3 linked regions of the Caenorhabditis elegans genome follow. The protein of the gene in region 1 interacts with the protein of each later gene in a biochemical or structural test. Each region holds a gene or a part of one and is shown in the gene's direction. Other genes may lie near its edges.

Evidence for each region. The genes of interacting proteins can lie anywhere in the genome.
Region 2: the proteins of cbp-1 (region 1) and prmt-5 form a complex in vitro, tested with the Caenorhabditis elegans proteins (one study listed by BioGRID).
Region 3: the proteins of cbp-1 (region 1) and pop-1 form a complex in vitro, tested with the Caenorhabditis elegans proteins (one study listed by BioGRID).

Annotation. Positions count from the first base shown.
Region 1 is NC_003281.10:9,762,969-9,770,712, forward strand, and holds the start of cbp-1 (Protein cbp-1), read left to right. Parts: upstream 1-3,541; 5' UTR 3,542-3,729; coding exon 3,730-3,769; intron 3,770-3,822; coding exon 3,823-3,899; intron 3,900-3,951; coding exon 3,952-4,740; intron 4,741-5,034; coding exon 5,035-5,400; intron 5,401-5,452; coding exon 5,453-5,579; intron 5,580-5,711; coding exon 5,712-5,861; intron 5,862-5,912; coding exon 5,913-6,425; intron 6,426-6,475; coding exon 6,476-7,744. UniProt on the Caenorhabditis elegans protein: Acetyltransferase enzyme. Acetylates histones, giving a specific tag for transcriptional activation. May prevent DNA damage-induced apoptosis by inhibiting cep-1-dependent transcription activation of the programmed cell death activator egl-1.
Region 2 is NC_003281.10:5,228,614-5,236,392, forward strand, and holds prmt-5 (Protein arginine N-methyltransferase 5), read left to right. Parts: upstream 1-1,941; 5' UTR 1,942-1,965; coding exon 1,966-2,261; intron 2,262-2,310; coding exon 2,311-2,392; intron 2,393-2,485; coding exon 2,486-2,679; intron 2,680-2,760; coding exon 2,761-3,042; intron 3,043-3,086; coding exon 3,087-3,492; intron 3,493-3,769; coding exon 3,770-4,251; intron 4,252-4,870; coding exon 4,871-5,042; intron 5,043-5,266; coding exon 5,267-5,485; intron 5,486-5,533; coding exon 5,534-5,605; 3' UTR 5,606-5,894; downstream 5,895-7,779. Other genes in the region: atp-2 (ATP synthase subunit beta, mitochondrial), read left to right, coding at 1-35, 85-714, 762-1,473, 1,522-1,622; mrps-26 (Small ribosomal subunit protein mS26), read left to right, coding at 6,005-6,166, 6,459-7,064. UniProt on the Caenorhabditis elegans protein: Catalyzes the symmetrical dimethylation of arginine residues in targets such as small nuclear ribonucleoproteins, histone H2A/H4 and cbp-1.
Region 3 is NC_003279.8:2,825,927-2,831,898, reverse strand, and holds the start of pop-1 (Protein pop-1), read left to right. Parts: upstream 1-1,587; 5' UTR 1,588-1,605; coding exon 1,606-1,780; intron 1,781-3,300; coding exon 3,301-3,419; intron 3,420-4,825; exon of another isoform or gene 4,826-5,016; intron 5,017-5,972. UniProt on the Caenorhabditis elegans protein: Transcription factor. Part of the Wnt signaling asymmetry pathway. Binds to the consensus sequence, 5'-(C/T)TTTG(A/T)(A/T)(G/C)-3'.

The DNA of each region.
Region 1 (7,744 bases):
AACGAAATTGATTTCCATTCGAAACGGAGCTCATGTATTCTGAAATTCTAATAGTTTTGTGTTTTTTAACCGTCAATTTCTGGAAATATAGTGTTTTAATAAGTATTTTACGCAGAAATTCTCCGAAATTTACGTTCGGGTTTCGTAAACTACCAAACTCGGTGAGCATAGCTAGATATTTTACCTATAGACTTCTGAGAGTTAAATAATTGATTTTTCTACTTAGTTCTTAGATTTCCATTGAAGAATATCTCAAAAACTACCACGCAGCTTTTATTTTCTCTCGATTAAATTCTTACATTTCTCTCTCATATCTACCTTTTCTGTTATAACATTGTACTATAATAAACCTAACCTGAAAGACCTGACCAATGCAATTTTTACGAATAACCTCCTAAACTAAAACTAATTTCTAAAATTTATGTATATTTCTTCAAATTACCTCACCATTTTACTTTCCCGTATCTTATAGGTCCGTTTGGACATCAGAATCCGGAAAAAACACTGAAATTTGAAATTTTATTTCTAAAACTCCATTATTTCTTCTCCATTTTACATGGTGAACAGAAAACCGTTCGACTAAATTAAAAAAAAAAGTTCATTTGGATCATATCCCTTTCCGTTCCAGAGTACTGTAGAATTTCACTTTATTTCGAATCAGCTGTCTTCGCTCTAATGAGAATTTTTTGAGTTTTCAATCAATATTATAATCGTCGATCGCGTTTTGAATGGTAGGCTCGAGTGCATATTCCAGAATTTCCAATTCCTTGTAGTTTTCATTTTGATTAAACTTAAACATTTCATATTTTCCCTGTTGATATTACAAAAGTTGAATTTTCTGCAAGCTGGTAAAGTCGACTGAATAAATATTTCAGTACCATAATATAATAAAATTGTCATTTCTGCCTGTATAGTTGTAGTAGACCCTAATCCATCATCTAGATTCTCGATCTCGGATAGGTATTTAGAAATTTTCAGAAATACGTCCTAATATTCAGTGTTGAGCTTCATCTAAGGTCATTCAAACACCTTCTTTTTTGATTGAGAAATCATCAAAGATTGCATTAAAATTCCTCATATATGTATTAAAATTGCTTACATTTAACCTTCCAGTAGTATTTGCTTACATGAAAAGTATTTCAACTTGACTTTCATAGGCCACTACAAAAAATTTAGCAACAGAGGAACACTTTGATCTAAAAAACCGATTTTAAATTTTGACTTGAATTTTTCACTGCTTTTCGGTGTCCGGCTGACCCGTGAAATTGCTCAAATGCTAATTTTGCAAACTTTTGGTGGTTTAAGTGGTAGGAAAACACAATGGAAGCTTTTTTGTAAGAACGCTGAAAATTTTCACATAAAATCGAGAATAATTTTAGATTTTTTTTCTTAAAAAATGAGCTGGATAAAACTTCTCTACAGAAAATTTTCAATAAAGTATTTAGCTGAACAGTAGTCTGAAATACTTTCAGATCGATATTTTTTCTAGTTCAAAAAGCTACTCTGCTGCTATGTCTTTTGTAAGTTACCGGTACAGTAATCAATGTTTCCTTCTAACTAGATACTATGTTTATTCATATCATTTTTGGTTTTCAGTTTAGGACCCTGTTGGAATTCTGCTTCCAACGAACATGACCGATTGTAGATTTTTCTATTCTAGAAATATTCGTATTCATTCACATATAATATACTCAACACGTCTAGCTATTCCCACACTTTATGTTTAAGAACAGTTCAATCATGCGCATTATCGTAAGAATCATGAATTACTGTATATTCGGATCCTTAATTGCACCTTCGATACCGAAAGATAAGGAAACGAGAGCGTAGAGAAACGGACGGAACGCCCAGCGCTGAGCAGTAGAGGGGCGCATAGAGTGTGAAACGGAGGCCCCGCCCCATCTCGGCCACACTATTACAATCTTGAGGACAGCAGCACGGCGTCGTCGTCCGGAATCTCAGTCTTCATCGTCGTCAACTTCAGAAGTCTATTGGGATGACTGAGAACTACTGCCAGTCTACCACCCTCCGCCACCCTGTCGCTCCGCCTCTCTTGGTGATATCGACAGTCGGACGAGGAGGGCTATTGCCCCGCCTCTCGCACTTTTTGAACTGCCGCTCTTCCGTCCTCCTCAGTTTTTTTGCTTCTCCGGTGGTATTTGATAATTTCCTTTTAGAACATTACACTTTCGATTATTCTCTATCTATTCAAGCCACTGCCGGCTCATGAGAGTTCAATGCGAGCTCACAAACTGAACCATTAAGTGCTCAATCGTGGTTATCGATTTTTCAGAGCTTCAAGTCTGGCTCTTACTCTGGCATTACACGAAGTGATAATATACAGTATTCAACTACTAAATACTATTGCTCTACGATTTTCTATGTATTTTGCTCCTAGTAGCTCAAATTCATTATTAAATTTAACTTTTATCTTTGCAACCTCATCATTCATCTATCTGTTTCGCTCTCGTTCTCTCATCTTTCAAACTTTGTTAATAATGTTATTTTCTTCAATATCACACCAAAAATTATAATCAAAACTTTCATCTCGATCCATTAGATGCTTGTAAACGGAGCCTGTCCAAATGGCATATTCCTTCGTGTGCGTGCGTGTCGCGTGCGGTTAATGTTCTACCGTATCTCGCGAAACGCGGTTTTCGTTGCGAGACACCCACAGCATGGGGCACCCGCTGTCGGCGTTCTCTCCCGATACACACTACTTCGTGGGTGGCTGACTCGTGCTGTCTGTCGTCTCTCCCACTGACCATGTTATTTTGACGAACGGTGTTCTGCGCTTCTTCACGATCATGAACTTTTGAACGTGTCACGTGGAAAATGTTTTGCAACTTTTTAAGTCAAAATACAGTTCAGAATCGGGTCAGTAGTACCATGTGAATCGACGGGATCATCTGAGAAAGAGAAGTTAGCCTCATAAGGTTGGCTTAGCAAATATCGATCGAGCTAGATATACCTGTAAGTATCTAGAGCATTCATGTTTTTAATGGTCCCAAACACCTTTAATGCTTAAAAATACCCGAATTTCACAATATAGATGCCCGCCTTCTTCATTATGCATAGTATTTTTTAAAAATATCTCTCAAGACTGCATAACAACTTTTTTTTGTTAATCCGTATATTACTATAGTGTTTCTAATTAAAATTTGTTTTCGAAGTTTTGCAAAATTGGCTATGAATCCAATTTTAAGCTCTAAATTTATGATAGCTACAGTAACCCATTCATTGGAATTTGATGTTATTAATTCAATTTTAGCATTTAAACGCTCCTTCTCTATTATTACACGCTTAAACAACTTATACAATGGTGCAGGTAAACTTTAAAAAGTGCAACCATCCTCCGTTCATTCTATTGATTTTCCATCTCCTTCTCTCTCACTGTCTGTCTCTCTTCAATTCGCCTCCTCTTTTCATAAGTGCTCTCGCTCTCTAACCACCCTCCACTCATTACTTCACCGATGTTCTTCTCACTCTTCCTCCTCCCTCCTCCGTTCACCGACAAAAATCCATATATCCATTTCATTTTTTTCAGAAACAAACAGCTATATCTGGTGATTTTGCCAAACTAACCCAAATAAGCGGGAACTCTGATGAAGTAGTGGTTGACGTGGGAATTCAAAAACCGACGGACGCAACCAATTCAGGTGTTCCGAGAAGTAGAAAGAGTTCACTTGGTTCGAATTTTGTCAAATATATACATTTTTCTACTAATTGATGGATGAACCACCATCAAAAAAATCTCGCGCTGATAGCGGTAAGTTGCTAGGAAAGTTAAGATGCTACGGTATGATCCTTTAAACTTTTCAGACTATGATTCTGGGTTAGATGCGCTAAGTGCTCTCGAAAGTCTCGAAGCATTCCCAACTTCTAGTAAAGATACAGATGTAAGTTTTTTTGTTTGAATTAACACTCTGTTTTATAAAAATTGTTGTTCAGGTAGACAATAATCCAAGCACATCAGCTGGAGGATCCGGTGGTCCTTCTGGCTCGACACCTCATCCACAAGGCACTCCACAACCAGCACCATCAAACAATGGCGGGTTCAATCTACAACCAGGACAGTCGCAACCTCAGCAGCCGCCACAGAATATGGGAGGAGGTGTCAATGGATCAGTGCTTCAAGAACTTCTAATGAATCCATCACAAACGTCGAACAATTCACCTCGGCCGCAGGCATATCCGCCTGGACAGCAAAATGCATTTAATAGGAGTCCAATGATGCCAAATGGTACACCGAATATGATGTCACCTCCATCTATGGGTCGAGTGCCGGGGCCCAGTCCTGGAGGTCCACAACCACCAGGCCCAGGCCAACCACAAATGCGACCAGGCCAACCAGGAATGTTCCAAGGAGATCAGCAACAGCAAATGATGATGGGTGCACAAGGACAACAATTCCCAGGAATGATGCATCGATATCCGTACGCACAAGGTGGTCCTCCACCAGGAGCCCAGGGAATGCCTCAAGGATATCCAGGAGTTAGTCGGGGCGGACCAACTCCTGGACAACCCATGGGACGTGGTGCTATGATGAATGGAGCAATGCCAAGAAGTGGACCAATGCCGACACAAGGAAGACCTGGAATACCTCCAAACCAACAAGCAATGATGCAGCCAATGATGACTGATCGGCAGTTTATGCAACACGGACAATATGGTCAGCAGCGACCAGAATTTATGCAACAATATGGTCGTCCCGGTGGATATCCAATGATGCATCAAGGGGTAAGTAGAAACTATTTCCTGATTTCTATTTCATTTTGGTTTGATCTTTAAAAAATGCGGGAATTTTTTTTGTTTTTAACCTAGAAAATTGGTAAGATCAGCATGATCTTAACTGTGCGATTCTGACAATTTTTGAAGATCAAACAAAAATGGAACACTTATTAGCTTGACGTGAATTTGGCCAAATCAAAATCGATGTGTAATTGAAACTTAAGTTTCCAATAATTCCCTAATCTTCCACAAATATTGGTTGGAAGTTGCTTGGAATCATAACAATAATCTTCTACATTTCAGATGATGATGGACAGTAATGGTCAACCGATTCGAGGCCCGAATCAAATGATGATGATGAGCAATGGGCATCCAGGAATGTCACACGGTCCTCCAAATGGTCAACCTGGACCACAAGCTGCTGCAGCACAACACGCTGCTCAACAGCAAGCTGCTGCACAAGCTCAAGCTCAGGCGGCTGCACAACAACAACAGCAGCAACAACGAGAGCAAGAAGCTGCGGCGGCAGCTCAACGAAATGGTGCTGGAAGGGCGACAACTCCTGGATCAAGCATGCTTGCAACGCATCAAGATCCCGAGAAGCGGAAGCTTATTCAGCAACAACTTGTTCTATTACTTCATGCACACAAATGTTCTCAACGTGAGAAGGTATGTTATACAGTATGTTCTGGTTTCCTTCATACATCATCAGCTTTTACAGGAAAATCGTGATTTCGCTGCGAAGAATCAACCACCTCCACATGCTGCCTGTACATTACCCCATTGCTCAACGATGAAAGAAGTATTGACACACATGACAAGCTGCAATGTTGGTCGTTTATGTCATTGTAAGTATATTACCCGTCGTGTCGCTTCTTTTTCTCTATCTGGAAAGAGTTTCGAACATTTTCGCAAGAAGAAGCGCCTATTCCCACCCAAAATTTCGCTTCACTCTAGCCACTGTTTGAAATCTCTTTCAGCCGATACCACACAAACTACAAAAAAATGTTCAGTCGCTCATTGTGCATCGTCTCGCCAAATAATAGCTCACTGGAAAAACTGCTCAAGGGAAGATTGTCCTGTCTGCAAACCACTCAAAAGGATACAAGATACTCCATTACAATTTTCATGTACGTTCTATCCTACTCAAGAACATTTTTTAAATATTTGATTATTTTCAGTGCCCGATCTTGCAAATCTAATAGGAGTCAACGGGAATTCGAACGGAAGCGCAGAAGGTGATGGACTTCATCAGTTTGGATCGCCAGCGATGCGAACTGGAAATATTACAAATTCTCTATTCGAAGGATTCAATGGCAATCCATTCCAAAACGGACCAAATCGTGGAGGACCGAGACCACCTGGTGGAAATGGAGAAATTCCAAACTTGCCACCACCAGATATGCCAGATTGTACGAAAGAATGGCATCATCAAGTCACAAAAGATCTCAGAAATCACCTTGTCGGAAAATTGGTTAAAGCGATTTTCCCGGAACCGAATCAGGAAGCGATGAATGATAATCGGTTAAAAGATTTGATAGCCTATGCCAGAAAAGTCGAAAAAGAGATGTTTGAATCTGCAAATGACAGAGAAGAGTATTATCATTTGTTGGCTGAGAAAATTTACAAGATACAAAAAGAGCTTCAAGAGAAAAAGAATTCAAGACTCAATCAAGGAGCTGCTGCACATGATCGTAAGTTTTTTTTTTTTAAAATTTCACCCTTTAACCAATTTTCATTTCAGAATACGCAATTCCACCGTCGAACGAGCTCGCTCAGATGCTTGGTGTGGAAGGTGGACGTAGTGATGTTCATTCTGAAGGAAGTAGTATGGCAGTTGCACCAAGTCAACAAAATCAACCATGGGGAGGTGCTCCGAATTCCAACATGCATCAGCAGATTCCTCCGAATGGACAAGTTCCACAGGTCAATAATTCTTCGACATTCCCGTCAAGTGGTAACAGCACTCCAAACATCGGAGCTTCATCTACTGTCAGTGCTATGCTGCAACCGAAAACTGAACCCATGGACGATCAGAATACAGATTCGTTAAGTTCAAGACCACCAACGGCTATTGGATTCGGTGGCTCGAGCTCATCAACGCCAGCTCCAATTATGAACGGAATTGTTAAGAAGGAAGAAGATCCTGAAGAGTCTTCAAATCAAGCTCCTCCATCAGTTAAGGATACTAAGGATGGTGTAGCTGAATCGAAACCTAAAGAGCAACAAGCAAAGCGAGAACCTACCCCGCCACCAACTGAAGATACAGTGTTCAGTCAAGAGGATCTTATAAAATTCTTGCTTCCTGTATGGGAGAAGCTAGATAAATCCGAAGACGCTGCACCATTCCGAGTTCCAGTCGATGCAAAACTTTTAAATATTCCCGATTATCACGAGATCATCAAGCGCCCAATGGATTTGGAAACCGTTCACAAGAAATTGTATGCGGGTCAGTATCAAAACGCTGGTCAATTCTGTGATGACATTTGGCTGATGCTTGACAATGCTTGGCTGTATAACAGAAAGAACAGTAAAGTATACAAATACGGTCTTAAGCTGTCGGAAATGTTTGTGAGTGAAATGGATCCAGTGATGAAGAGTATGGGATACTGTTGTGCCAAGAAACTTGCATTCACACCTCTTTCATTGTTCTGTTACGGTGCAGCAATGTGCACGATAGCCAGAGAACAGCAATACTGGGTATTCGAACAAAGTTCTACGCAGTACAATGTGACAGTTACGGAGAGATATACTTATTGTCAGAAATGTTTCGATGCTCTTCCTCCTGAAGGAATATCACTTTCCGAAAATCCCAACGATCGAAACAACATGGCACCGAAAACATCGTTTACGGAACAGAAGAACAGTGTTATTGATTATGAGCCTTTCGAGAGATGTAAATATTGTATGAGGAAATGGCATCGGATATGTGCACTTCATGATAAGAAAGTTTATCCAGAAGGATTTATATGCGAATGTTGCCGGACTGCTAAGAAATATCAAAAGCCAGATA
Region 2 (7,779 bases), 4.5 Mb from region 1:
GTGTTGCCACCCAGCAAGCTGCCGCTGCCACCAAGGTTTGTATTTTTTTTAGTCAGATAAATTCAATTCAATTCTGGTTTTAAGGTCTCTGCCAAGGCTACAGCTGCTAACGCTTCCGGACGCATTGTCGCTGTCATCGGAGCCGTCGTCGACGTCCAGTTCGATGAGAACCTTCCACCAATCCTCAACGGTCTCGAGGTAGTCGGACGTTCCCCAAGACTCATTCTTGAGGTCTCTCAACATCTCGGAGACAATGTCGTCAGATGTATTGCTATGGACGGAACTGAAGGACTTGTCCGTGGACAGCCAGTTGCTGACACCGGAGATCCGATTAAGATCCCAGTCGGACCAGAAACTCTTGGCCGTATCATGAACGTCATTGGAGAGCCAATTGACGAGAGAGGTCCAATTGCATCCAAGAACTTCGCTGCTATCCACGCTGAAGCTCCAGAATTCGTCGAAATGTCCGTCGAGCAGGAGATTCTTGTTACCGGAATCAAGGTCGTCGATCTTCTTGCCCCATACGCCAAGGGAGGAAAGATTGGACTTTTCGGAGGAGCTGGAGTCGGAAAGACTGTGCTTATCATGGAGCTCATTAACAACGTCGCCAAGGCTCACGGAGGTTACTCTGTGTTCGCTGGAGTCGGAGAGCGTACCCGTGAAGGAAACGATCTCTACCACGAAATGATTGAAGGAGGAGTCATTGATCTCAAGGTTAGTAGGAAAAAATGGTTCATGGTATTTAAATAAACAATTTATAGGGAAAGAACTCCAAGGTATCTCTCGTATACGGACAAATGAACGAGCCACCAGGTGCCCGTGCTCGTGTGTGCCTCACCGGTCTCACTGTCGCCGAGTACTTCCGTGACCAGGAAGGACAAGATGTGCTTCTTTTCATTGACAACATTTTCCGTTTCACCCAGGCTGGATCTGAAGTGTCCGCTCTTCTCGGACGTATCCCATCCGCTGTCGGATACCAACCAACCCTTGCCACTGACATGGGAAGTATGCAAGAGAGAATTACCACCACCAAGAAGGGATCCATCACATCCGTCCAGGCTATTTACGTACCTGCTGACGATTTGACTGATCCAGCTCCAGCTACCACATTCGCTCACTTGGACGCCACCACTGTCTTGTCCCGTGGTATTGCCGAATTGGCTATCTACCCAGCTGTCGATCCACTTGACTCCACCTCCCGTATCATGGACCCCAACGTTGTCGGACAGAACCACTACGACATTGCTCGTGGAGTTCAAAAGATCCTCCAAGATTACAAGTCCCTCCAAGATATTATTGCTATTCTTGGTATGGATGAGTTGTCCGAGGAAGACAAGCTTACCGTTTCACGTGCCCGCAAGATCCAACGTTTCCTTTCCCAACCATTCCAAGTCGCTGAGGTGTTCACTGGACATCAAGGAAAGTTCGTATCACTCGAAGAGACAATCCGCGGTTTCACCATGATTCTCAAGGGTAAGAATATTTAAACGTTGAAAACATTAAAATTAAATCAATTTTCAGGAGAACTCGACCACCTTCCAGAAGTTGCTTTCTACATGCAAGGAGGAATCGATGATGTGTTCAAGAAGGCCGAAGAACTCGCCAAGCAACACGGAAATTAGTTTTATTTTTTTTGTTATAACGCCGACACTTCGTTTTTCTTTTTTTCAATGTTTTTTGGTAGAGATAAATTTAATGTATAGTTTATTGTATTGTTGCGGTAGTGCTGTTTCCGTCAGACCACTATTTGGTGACTCCCAATACGTTGTTTTCCATCTCTCACTCTCCCTTCTTCGAATTCAACTACCAACCCAAATGCCCTAAAAGGCAACAAAAATAAAGCAAAAACATTATTTTTTTCACACCCCAAGTTCATTTGACTTCTAGTATATTTTTATCAGAAATAAACAGAAAGCCGATGATAAAACTGCGAGTTTGTTGATCGTCAAATTTCAGGTTAAACGAATGAGTAACAGAACGTATGCCGATAATCTGTTTCCACAACAGGTCGCGGAGCAGCATGAGGAACAGATGTCTTCTGGTTCTTCGCCCAAAAGTAATTCTCCCAGCAGAAGTATAAGCTCTGTTGAGGCAGCGAACTCTAGAATACACATCGGATGGATGGCCACAACCTTGGACGTTGCCGAGAATCTAGACCGTCATGTTGCTACTTTCTGTACACGACTGGGAGAGTTCAAGTATAACTTTGTCGTCTACCCGATTGGAGGGGTCGTTCGCGCATTCTGGACGCCTAATGGAAGGTTCACATCGACTATCTTACCCAACTTCAACTAGACTACTAATTTTCAGCGCGGAGAATCATCCACCTGTTATTGATTTGCCCGATGTTCAGCTGAGAAATGATCTCTGGGAAAGCTATGTTGTAGGAAAAGTATGGGGGGTTTTTTTTTTAATTTTAATTACTTTTTCGAAGAACAAGCCCTTTATTCTTAAATTAAAACCTGAAATTGTCATTTTTTTCAAGATTTCTCCATGGATCGACTGTGACTCTTCTGATCCAGCCTTTGCCTCGCTTTCCGAGGAACATCTTCTGAAAGAGCTCAGCTACATTTGTTATTTGGGTCTTCAAACGATGGCAATCGAGCTCACACGCATCTCGTCGCCTCGTACTGCTGCCATTTTGAAAAAATGGATTTGGACTAGAAATTCGCGTTTTACGTAAGTAAAATGCAATATGAAATAGCTCCTTTTTTTCAGTAAAATATTTTTTAAAAAAGCAAAGTTTATATTTATTTTCAGTGTTTGGGTTCAACTTCCGTCTGCAATTGAAAAGTGCAAAGATTATGACGCTTTCACAATAGAACATGTTGATTTATGGACAATTTGGGCCGATTTCCGGAAGAATTGTGGTAATTTCAGTGGTGTTTATTTCCAAGTGGCTTTGACGATCTCTTCGGAACTTCCCGATGAGCTTACTGAGCTTAAACTTGTGGACCGTTGGAAGGCCGAGCCCCTAGCAGCTTTTGTTATCGAATCGGGTCTTTTTATTTCTGGAAGAAATGGAGAAGCATCAATTCCAAGGTAAATTTCAAGATTACATTTTCAAATAAATACTAATTTTTCAGTGCCCACATAAATTTATTAAAACATCTATGGACAACTGATGCACTTCGGATCGTTCTTCGTGCCACAACGGATACATTCAAGTACAATACTTCTATCAAATCCGAGTATTCTCAAGCTCTTCGTCATGCAGTTCGAAATGTTAATTACCGAAGTCGTCCTGATGTTGGAGAAGGATCGAATGACTCCACTCATTATCTTAATGTTATCGAATACAAAGATGTTTTGCAAGCACCTCTTCAACCATTGTCTGAAAATTTGGATTCAGGAGTTTATAATACATTCGAGCAGGATCAAATTAAATACGACGTGTATGGAGAAGCTGTAGTTGGAGCATTAAAAGATCTTGGAGCTGACGGAAGAAAAACTGTTGTCATTTACTTGTTGGGAGGAGGACGTGGTCCTATTGTGAGTTTTTGGCTATTAAGTAGAAAAAGTCCCTTTTAATTCGACATGAAAACATATTTTGTGGCCAATTGAAAACACTCCACCCCCTGACCATGGGTCTCGTTTGGAAGTTGGCGACAAGCCGGAAATTCAAACATTTTGCAGTTAATTTTGCCAATTGTCTGAAGCGAACTGCAACATTTTTCAATTTACAGTTTTTCGGTCTAAATGAATATCAAAACGGGCATTTTTATGCGTCTCCATAGTTTTAAATATTATAAATTTCAATTTTTTTCAGGGAACGAAAATTCTGAAATCTGAAAGAGAATACAACAACACATTCCGACAAGGCCAAGAAAGTCTCAAAGTGAAGCTTTATATTGTTGAAAAGAATCCAAATGCAATCGTCACTCTGAAATATATGAATGTGAGAACATGGAAACGACGAGTAACGATTATTGAAAGTGATATGCGAAGTCTGCCGGGAATTGCGAAAGATCGTGGATTCGAACAACCTGACATAATTGTTTCGGAACTTCTTGGAAGTTTTGGAGATAACGAGTTGAGTCCTGAATGTCTAGATGGTGTCACTGGATTTTTGAAGCCAACAACAATTTCAATTCCACAGAAGTACACTAGCTATGTGAAGCCAATAATGAGTACTCATATTCATCAAACAATTAAAGCTCAAAGTATTCCTTATTTGAGTCGTGCAATTCCATCGCATGGTAGAGGTGAACCGGAATTGGATGAAGACGAAATGTGGATTCAAAAATACCCGTTTGTTTTTCAATTTTTTTATAAAAATATAAACATTCTGCCTTATTACCCCGATGCCAAATTTTGCTAGTCCCGGTCTCGATTAGACAAAATTTTTAAAATTAAAAAAAAAATTCAAACAAAAATCTTTGTTATATGCGAAAACGTGTGCACCTTTAAACTATACTGTAATCTAAGACTTGTTGCTGCAGAGTTTTTATTAATTTTTTATAGTTTTTTTTGGTTGGCATTTTATTATTTTAGTTTAGTTTTGATAAATTGATATTGATTTTTATTTAAAAAACTATGAAAAATCATGGGATATTGAAATTACAGTACTCTTCAAAGGTACAAAAAGTTTCGTATTAACGAATATTTATCGTGTAGATACCGGGTACCGTAATATTAGAAAAAGTATCGCTAAAATTCATGTTGTGGTAATAAATATTTCTGAAGTTTTCTACTCTTGTGTACATAAAGGCCCTGGCCGAGTACACGGAGGTTTCTAGGCCATCTTTTCTTGACGGGAGTATCCGCTCCACAAGTTATGCTTCAATTTACTCTTATTTTAGAATAATTTTTAATTAAAAAAAAAGCATAAAAACTTTTTTTTTAAATTTTAATAAACATTTTCTTTCAGACAAGGACATGTTCGTAACAATATGGATCAAATCTACGTTGTATATCTTTCAAAATACATTCCACTTGCCGAAACCACCAAACCAGTATTCACATTTGAACATCCAAATTTCATGAATTCAAGCAATGAGAGAAGCGATTCTATTGAATTTGTTATGGATAGAAATGCAGATGTAAGTTTTTCAGCAAAAAAAAAAAAAAAAACTTAGAAATTCTTAAGAAAATTTAAAAATATTTTTTCGTTGATTATTTGAGGTAATTTGCTTATATTAAATGCAAAATTCGCACAAATGACAGTCCACCTTTGAAAATAAAACAATGAATTGAAAAATTTTATTGATAAAATATGTGTTTATTAAATTAAAAATCAAATAAGTTAGAACCTAATTTATTTCAGCTGATGGGATTCGCCGGCTACTTTGATCTTCAACTCTACAAAACCGTGATGCTTTCAATTGAACCATCAACTCATACACCTGGAATGGTCAGTTGGTTCCCAGCTGTTATTCCACTTAGAGATCAATTGAGAGTTGGAGAAGGTGACAGAATTTCTCTGAAAATCGATCGAAAAGTTGACAATACTGGTGTGTGGTACGAATGGCATGTTGAAAAAAAGGTAACAGTTTTTGATAACTTATTAAGATTATAGTTGAGTTTTTTCCAGAAAACCAATGGCGAATCTGTGAGCACCCCGATCCAGAATCCAAATGGAGAGAGCTATTACATGAGAATGTAGTGCCTAGTTTTTCGCTTTTATAATTATTATTTTCCTGTTTTAATCCTAATTGTTGATGTGTTATTCACTTTTGCGCCCCTATTGAATTTCCCAATCATTCCTAGAATTTTTTCCGTTGGTTTTCCCATTTCCTGTTGCCCATTTTCCGGTTCATTAATTTGAAGATTCTTTTTTGCTCCGGTATCTATCGCGATTCGATTGTTGCTCCTTTTAATTCGATATTAATTGTTTAAAAATTCAGTTTTTAAGTTTCCGTTAATTTTCCGAATTAAAGAGCTTGTTTTATTCTGTTGTTTTTTTGTAATTTTGAATTATAGTTATTAGTTTTCATACTAAAACATATTTTTATAGAGATTTTAAAGTTTTCCCAATTATTTTTCATTTAAAAATATTTTCAGAATGTTGATAAACAGTTCTCGTTTATCAATTTCTTCAACGGGACGATGTCTTTTGGCATCTGCCATGTCACAAATGGACGAAGTATTCGGAGTACAGAAGAGACAAATGGGACGACGGCAACCAAAGCAGGGAAAACCACCAATTTTGCCTCCATCGAAGAAAGTGAGTTCTATTGATTTTTTCACTAGAACAAAAATTGGAACATAAAAAAATCCAATTTTTGCCGAAAAAAATGCGCCAGCGGGGCTTTTTCCCAAAATGACAGAAAATGTCTCAATATACCGAATATAACTGTTAGAAAATTTACAGTATTTTTCTAACTCCTTAAAAATGGGTTTTTTCAGTCTTGCAACAAAAAAACGTGCAACTTTTTATTGAAAAATTTAGAAGAATTCTATAAATTTTTAACAGTTTTAAATTTTGTTACTCTTATCTATAAATTCACAAAATTCAGGTTCTCTACCACGTTGTGCATGCTCCATGGCAGAAACCAGAAGATGTCGAGGAGCTCCTCTGGCGTCGTCATGCATACAACAATGCAGTTATTTCACTTCGAGAAGTATTCCGTGCAGAACTTGCTCAAAATGCATCTCATGGTCAGGGTATCGAAGCAATGAAAGAAGCAGAAGCACTTGAATTAGACGAATTAATTGCTCAAAATGAGAAGCGGAATGAAGAAAAACGGGCGGCACGTAAAGAACGAGAAGCCGAAGATGCGAAGGAAACAAAATCTGTAATTTTGGAAGAAATTCGAGTTGAATTGGAGAAAAGAAATGCAGGCAAAAAGCAGGCAGAAGATGAAGTTAAAAATGCAATTTCTCGTTCAAGTGAATTCATTACTCGTTCAAATCTTGAAACTAAAATTCTCGAAGCACTCGAAAAGCCAACAATTTACGATTTTGCAATTGATCGGGCTGGGAACAAGTATTTCGTACCTGAACCAGTTAAATATCAAGAAGGAACACCAACTCGACAAAAAGGACGATTGTATGATCAGACATTGGGTACACAACATGGAACTATCGAAGAAGCTAATAAGATACAACAGAAAAGTGTTTAGAGGACATGATGTGAGTTATTTTTGAACATCGAAAAATAAAAATAATAAAAAAATCTTCTAATGTAGTAATATTTTTGTTTTCAAATTTTTGAATTTTTTGAAGAAATGAAATTTTCATCTCTGGTAATTTCTCTACATAAAAATCAACTTTTTTTGATAAGTCTATAGACTAGACTACTATATTTCCTTACAATTTTTTCCAGTTTTACGAATTTCAATTTTTCAGTTCGAAAATCGAAAATTTTTCGACGACATCCATGTTCAATATAAACTTGTAGTTTGTGAGAAAAAAATATGAAATAATTGGAAAAGTGTTACACTTTTAAATATTTTCTGTAATCAATATTTTCGTTTACCTAATAATTTACTTTTTTTATTTCAGATTTGCCATTTCCCCAACTGGTCATCATCATTCTTCCCAAAAGGGACAACATTGTAGTCTACACACATTTCTTCCTAATTCGGATGATAACACTATAAGATAACTGTTCTCTGTCTCCGTCTCTTGTTCTCTCTTTCTCATTATTTTTTTTTGTATTCTATTTCCCTTTTTGAGTTTATACAAATTATATCAATTTTTGTTTTCTTTTTCTCTGTTTCAAATTCCAGTTTTCTAGACATTTTCCCTTTAGATAGACTTTTGCTGTTATAAGTTTTTGATTTTTTTCATAAATCTACAATCGTTTCATTTTACTTTCTTTAATTTGACTGTCTA
Region 3 (5,972 bases), on another chromosome or scaffold:
TGTCTCTATCTCTCCGCCAATTCTCACGGTTTTCCCGGTGAGTTACAACGAAGAAAATGAACACTTCGATAAAAAATATATATTGACGCCCCGGGTTACCGATTACCGATGCCCACAAAAATCACTTCTTATCAATTTTTAAATGGTTTTTTTCAGGACAATCTGATTTTTATTTTTTCTCACTCAACCTCCACTCTCTTCAAGTTCCATGCTCTCTTTTAACCTCTTCTACAGCTATTATTGTCGGCCACCTGCGCACACACACAGGGCCTTCTCACACACCATTTAGCATGGGCGGCCCCTTGATGAGCGATGAAAGCGAGAGACGCAGAGAAATTGGTGTAGCGGGGGGCCATGGTGCACTACCGACAGCGCGCGCATACACCACCACCAACCGCCTCTTGTCTTCTTCCCCCCTTCTTCTCACGTCCCCCGGTCCGTCATTTATTTGAATTTTATGGATCCTTTTCGCCTCGTTTTCCTCGTTCCACTATCCTCCCTCCTACCTCCTGCTGGGTTCTACGTTTATTTGCATTTTATAATTGGAGGAACTTCTTCATTCGAACATTTTTCGCTTTTTTTTCCCGTCATTCTTTTTGAATTTTGTAGAGCGAGTAGCGGCCTAGTTTTCGGCTAGGCCATCTGTTGCCAATGACAGATGTGTTTTGTTCACCGTATCGATTCCTGCTCTTTAATTTAAAATTCCCGCGTTTCGGATTTATAAGCAAAAAAGTAATTTTCTACGTCAAAAATAGGTAATTTTAAGGTATTTAAAGTCTGATCGTGGTGTCACCCATGCCAAAAAACATGGCATGCGCCTTTAAAGACTACGGTATATTTACAAAAATGTCGAAAAATGCGAATTTTAAACAAATTTAAAGATTTTTGATGATTTTCTCCTTTTTGTTCGGAATTCCCTTGTTTAAAATTTATGATTTTATTTTTAAAAACTCAAATTACAAATTAATAAGCCGAAAAATATTGTTATTCGCGGTGGTACCCACATTGAAATACATGGCACGCGCCTTTAAAGGTTACGGTAGACAAAAATACTTGAAAATTTAATTTTGAACAAATTTCGAAGTTTTCGATCAATTTCTAGATATTTCACATCGAAATTTCCTCGTTTCAAATTATTTTTTCAACGAAACAGCTCAAATTCGACATTTTTAAGCAAAGAAAAGTAATTTTGTTCGAAATTCGTGTCGAGACCCACACCAAAATAAGCGGCATGCGCCTTTAAAAGTTACGGTGGACAAAAGTATTTTTTAAATTAAAATTAAAACAAATTTCACCGTTTTTGCTGATTTTTCTTGAGTTTTTCATCTAAAATTTCGATTTTGTCGTCAAAATTTATCTCTAATTCAATAAAAATTCAACATTTTCCAATTTTAGAAGTCTAAACCTCCACTTTCTCCCCAAAATCCTATCGAATTCAAATTTCCCGCGTCTTTCCCCTCTCCATGGCCTAACTTCCGCGGACCTAGTCCCCCTTTTTTCTTGTTTTAAATGGTTCCGTGCTTCTTTTCCCTCCATTTTTCCGTCAATTTCCCATTAAAATCGTTAAAAAATGCTCTAAATTTCCAGATATAAAAATACACAAAAATGATGGCCGACGAAGAGCTCGGCGATGAGGTGAAGGTGTTCCGTCGGGATGAGGATGCTGACGATGATCCAATGATTAGTGGTGAAACGTCAGAACAACAGTTAGCCGATGATAAAAAAGAAGCTGTAATGGAAGCAGAATTAGACGGTGCCGGTCGAAATCCATCGATTGATGGTGAGTTTTCCAATAAATTTGATCGAAAGGGGAAGGTGGCCAGCTATCACACAAAATTTTATGGACCACCTCAATTGCCTTTCGACTTTATTACACAAAAAAAATATTTGAAAATTCTTCTAAATTTCTAAATTTCTGCAGGAAAAAGGGACATTAAATATTAAAAAAATACATATAAATTTAAATTTAAATAATTTAAATAAAAACTTTAAATGCTAAGACTGATCCCAAAAAAAGAGAAAAAAATCATTAAATTTGAAAAAAAAACCTTATTTAAATTCCCGCATTTTTTGTCTAAACTCCGCCCATAGAACCGTGCCGCACTTTGTTTTTTTTTCAAATTCAGCGTAAATCCATATTTTGGGGGTTTTTTTTCAGTTTTTAAATGGAGAAAAAGGTTTTAAAAATCGCCGAAAAATTCATTAAAAGCTAGAAAAACAACCCAAAAATTGGACTTTACGTTGAAATTAAAAAGTGCAAAAGTGCGGCACGGTTTTATGGGCGGAGTTCAAAATCGAGACAAAAGCGCGGGAATTTAAATTAATTAAAAATCGCTAAAATATTTTTTTTTGACAAATTTGAGTATTTTCAGTGTTATTTTGAATTTCAACCAATTTTAAAGCGATTTTTCGCCATTTTTTATATTTTAAAGTATTTCTAACACTTTATAAATGAAATTTACTCATTTTTAACCAATTTTTTTTCCGGTTTTCACTATTTTCTATTAAAAAAATCCATGCTAATTTCAAAACACCCCTAAGAATTGACCTGATGGTCCCGGGCCTTACGCAATGACATAATGACGTAAAAGGATGTTACGCAACGGTGTTCGAACACCATCTGCGTCTCTCCGAATCCCATACTATCTCGGTCCGTTATCTTGTGTGCTAATCCGTCGTGAGTACTTGAACAAGTTGGTCCGTCTGTGTGTGCTCAATAGACTGTATAGGGGTGCGAAAGGATTAAGAATTGGATAATATTCAAAATTGATCTGAGAAATTTGAACTTGGCGCCAAAAATTGACCTTTTTTGAGATCTGTGAATGGAAAAATCTAAAAAATTATGTATTTCAGGCCTTTAGAGGTGCTAGAAATTCCTTTTAAAATTTTACGAAAAATCGCTTTAAAATCGAATTTTCAATTGAAAAATCTAAAAAATGAGAGGTTTTGAACTCGGATATCACTATAAAAGTTGAATTTTAAAATATTTTTAACTGAAAATTGTGAAAATTTGCGAAAAATCGCTTTCAAAAATCGAAATTTTGAAGGAAAAATGAGATAATTAACCCTATAAAATTGAGTTTTGAAGAATTTTAACTAAAAATTGTGAAAATTACCGAAAAATCTCTTTAAAATCGGAGTTTTCATGAAAAAATCTGGAAAAATGAAATCTTTAACCCTATAAAATTGGATTTTAAAGAATTTTGACTAAAAATTGTGAAATTTGCCAAAAAATCGGTTGAAAATCAAAAATTTGGCTCTTTTTTAACCATTCTAACCGAATAATTATCAAATTTTCAGTGTTAAAAAGTGCATTTCCAAAAGTCGAACCAATGTCACCATCGTTTCCCGGTTTAATGTCACACTTCAGTCCTGGATACTCGGCAGCTGCTTTACCCATGTTTATGCCTCTATTTATGGTGATTTTTTACTTGGAAAATTGAAAAAATTTGAATTAAAACACATAAAAATTGGCGAAAATCGACAAAAATCGACTTAAAATTGTATTTTAGAGTTAACAAGTTAAATACTTCTGAACGAAAAATTACCGAAATTGGCAAAAAATCGGCTTTAATTGGAAGTTTTCACTGAAAAATCTGAAAACAAAGGTGAATATTAGGCCTCGAATATGTTATAAATACCTTATAAAGTTGAAATTTCAAGATTTCCCCCAAAAATCGACGAAAAATCGCTTTAAAATCCTTTTTATGACAATTCCCCCTATTTTATTAGAAAAATTATGTAGTCTAGGCATTAGAAATACTTTTAAAAGTTGCAATTTCAATATTTTGCCCAGAAATTGCCTAAGAAATGGGAAAAATTATGTATTTTGAATTTTTAAAGGGTTCGAGAGCCTCTATATTTTTGGAATTTAAGAATTTACACCAAAAATTATTTAAAAAAAGCGAAAAAACACCCTAAAATCGAAAGCTTTATTGAAAAATATGGAAAATTGTGTATTTTTGAGCTTATTCTTCAATTTGAATCAAAAATCGTCGAAATTTGCAAAAAATTGCTTTAAAATCCTATTAAAAATCATTTTTCCAACAATTTCTTCCCCAAAAAAGCAGAAATTCCAAAAAAAAAAAATTCAAATTTTTACCCAATTTCAAGAATTTTTAGGGCTTTTCTCCATTTTTGTAGAAAAAAAACCGTATTAATTTTTTATTCTTCCTACAATTTTCTTCCCCAAAAAGCAGAAATAATACAAAATTTCCACTAAAAAACTGAATTTATTGTCTTCCAAATCCAAAAATTCTTGGCTTTCCGCCATGGGGTTCTGGCCTTCCTCATTGAATTTTTCGCGCTCCATTGACAATCGCCCGCCGGACTGGGATAGTCGTGTACTCCACACGGACAAGTGCATTTAGTTTTACAACTAAAATCGAGCCGCGACGCGACACGCAACGCGCCGTAAATCTACTGAGCCAAAATGACCTAGTTCGGCAAAAACTCTTCCATTTCATTTTATGAGGGAAGCCAAAAATTCGTGAGAAATTCTACAAAATTTTCACCGAAAAACTGAATCTATTATCTTCTGAATCCAAAAACTCGTTGCATTTCCTCGAAAACAGTTTTTTCTTCTTTTTTGTTGGAGAAGCCTCATTAACTCCCAAAAAATTGCGTGTTTTTTGGCAATTTGTTTTTCTCGAAAAACTATTGGCGAAAAAACACCAAAAATTTCTTTTGAATTGTTGAACATCATGTCAAGAGCCGAAATTATTTCCTTTTGCGTCACTTTGGGGGGTCTCGATGGTGGTGGTAATTATGGTTGCTGGTACCCGAGACACGGATACAATAGACAATTAGACACCTCTGGGCCCCCCCCCCCCCCACACACACATGTTTGGACACCTTTTTTCTACAGACAAAAAGACGCGGAAAACAATAGGTTCAAAAGGTGTGTGTGTGTTCGTATTCATTCATTACAAAATGATGATGACCCCACACCAGAACAAGTGTGAGAGAGCTCTAATTGCTTCCGGAACATGATTGGTGCCACTTCCTGTAGAGAATTGACACTTGTTTTTTGAATTTGTTGAGAGCTAGCGGGGATCTGAATGATTACCGTACCTACCTACTAGGCCTATCTTCTCGGGGTACTGTACACAGACACGTGGTGTCAAAGTGTCTCATTTCGACTTGATCTACGTAGATCTACAAAATAGGCGGGAGAAGAGACGCAGAGCTCTCAACTGATTTCGCATGGTTAAGAACCTGTTGACGTCACATATTTTTGGGTGAAAAATTCCCGCATTTTTTGTAGATCAAACCGTGAAGGGGCAGCCTGACACCACATGCACAGGTTGAGCCAAGGTTTTCTGAAAAATTAGGAACGATTTTCCATTCGGTTTTTGTAGCAAAAACTAAAGGAACTACAGTACTTCTTAAAGGCGCGCAAGTTTGTTTGAATTTAACTTCGCTTCGAGATCGGGTACTGTAGTTTTGGCGCGAAAATTGCCATATTTTATCCCCTCTACATTTTTTTCAACTCCTTCTCGTTAGGGGTACTGTAGACAAGTGACTAAATACACCAATCTACTCAAACATTTGAGTTTTCACTGACGAATTCGAACTCTTTAGTAGATTTCGTGGAAACTGAATGACTACCGTACCTTTCAGAGCTGTGCGGCAAATCTTGAAAACTACAGTACTCCTTAAGGGCACACGGTCTTTTGAGATTCAAAAAGTCGGTCGCTTTGAGACCAATTACCGTTTTACTTTTAGGTATTTTCGAATAATTCGAGTTTTTGAAACTTTCAATTGAATGTAAAGTTGCTCTCAGAGAGTACAAATATTTATATATAAATAAATTTGAAAAAAAACTTTGAGGCAACAATCGGAAAATCTGATCCGTATCTATTCCATTTCGACTTAAGCCCCTCCACATCTCAAGTGACTGTTTTGTGCTCTGTGAGCAACTAGTGATAACACAGATACTCTAATGAGCTGCGAACGAGACTTGCAAAACA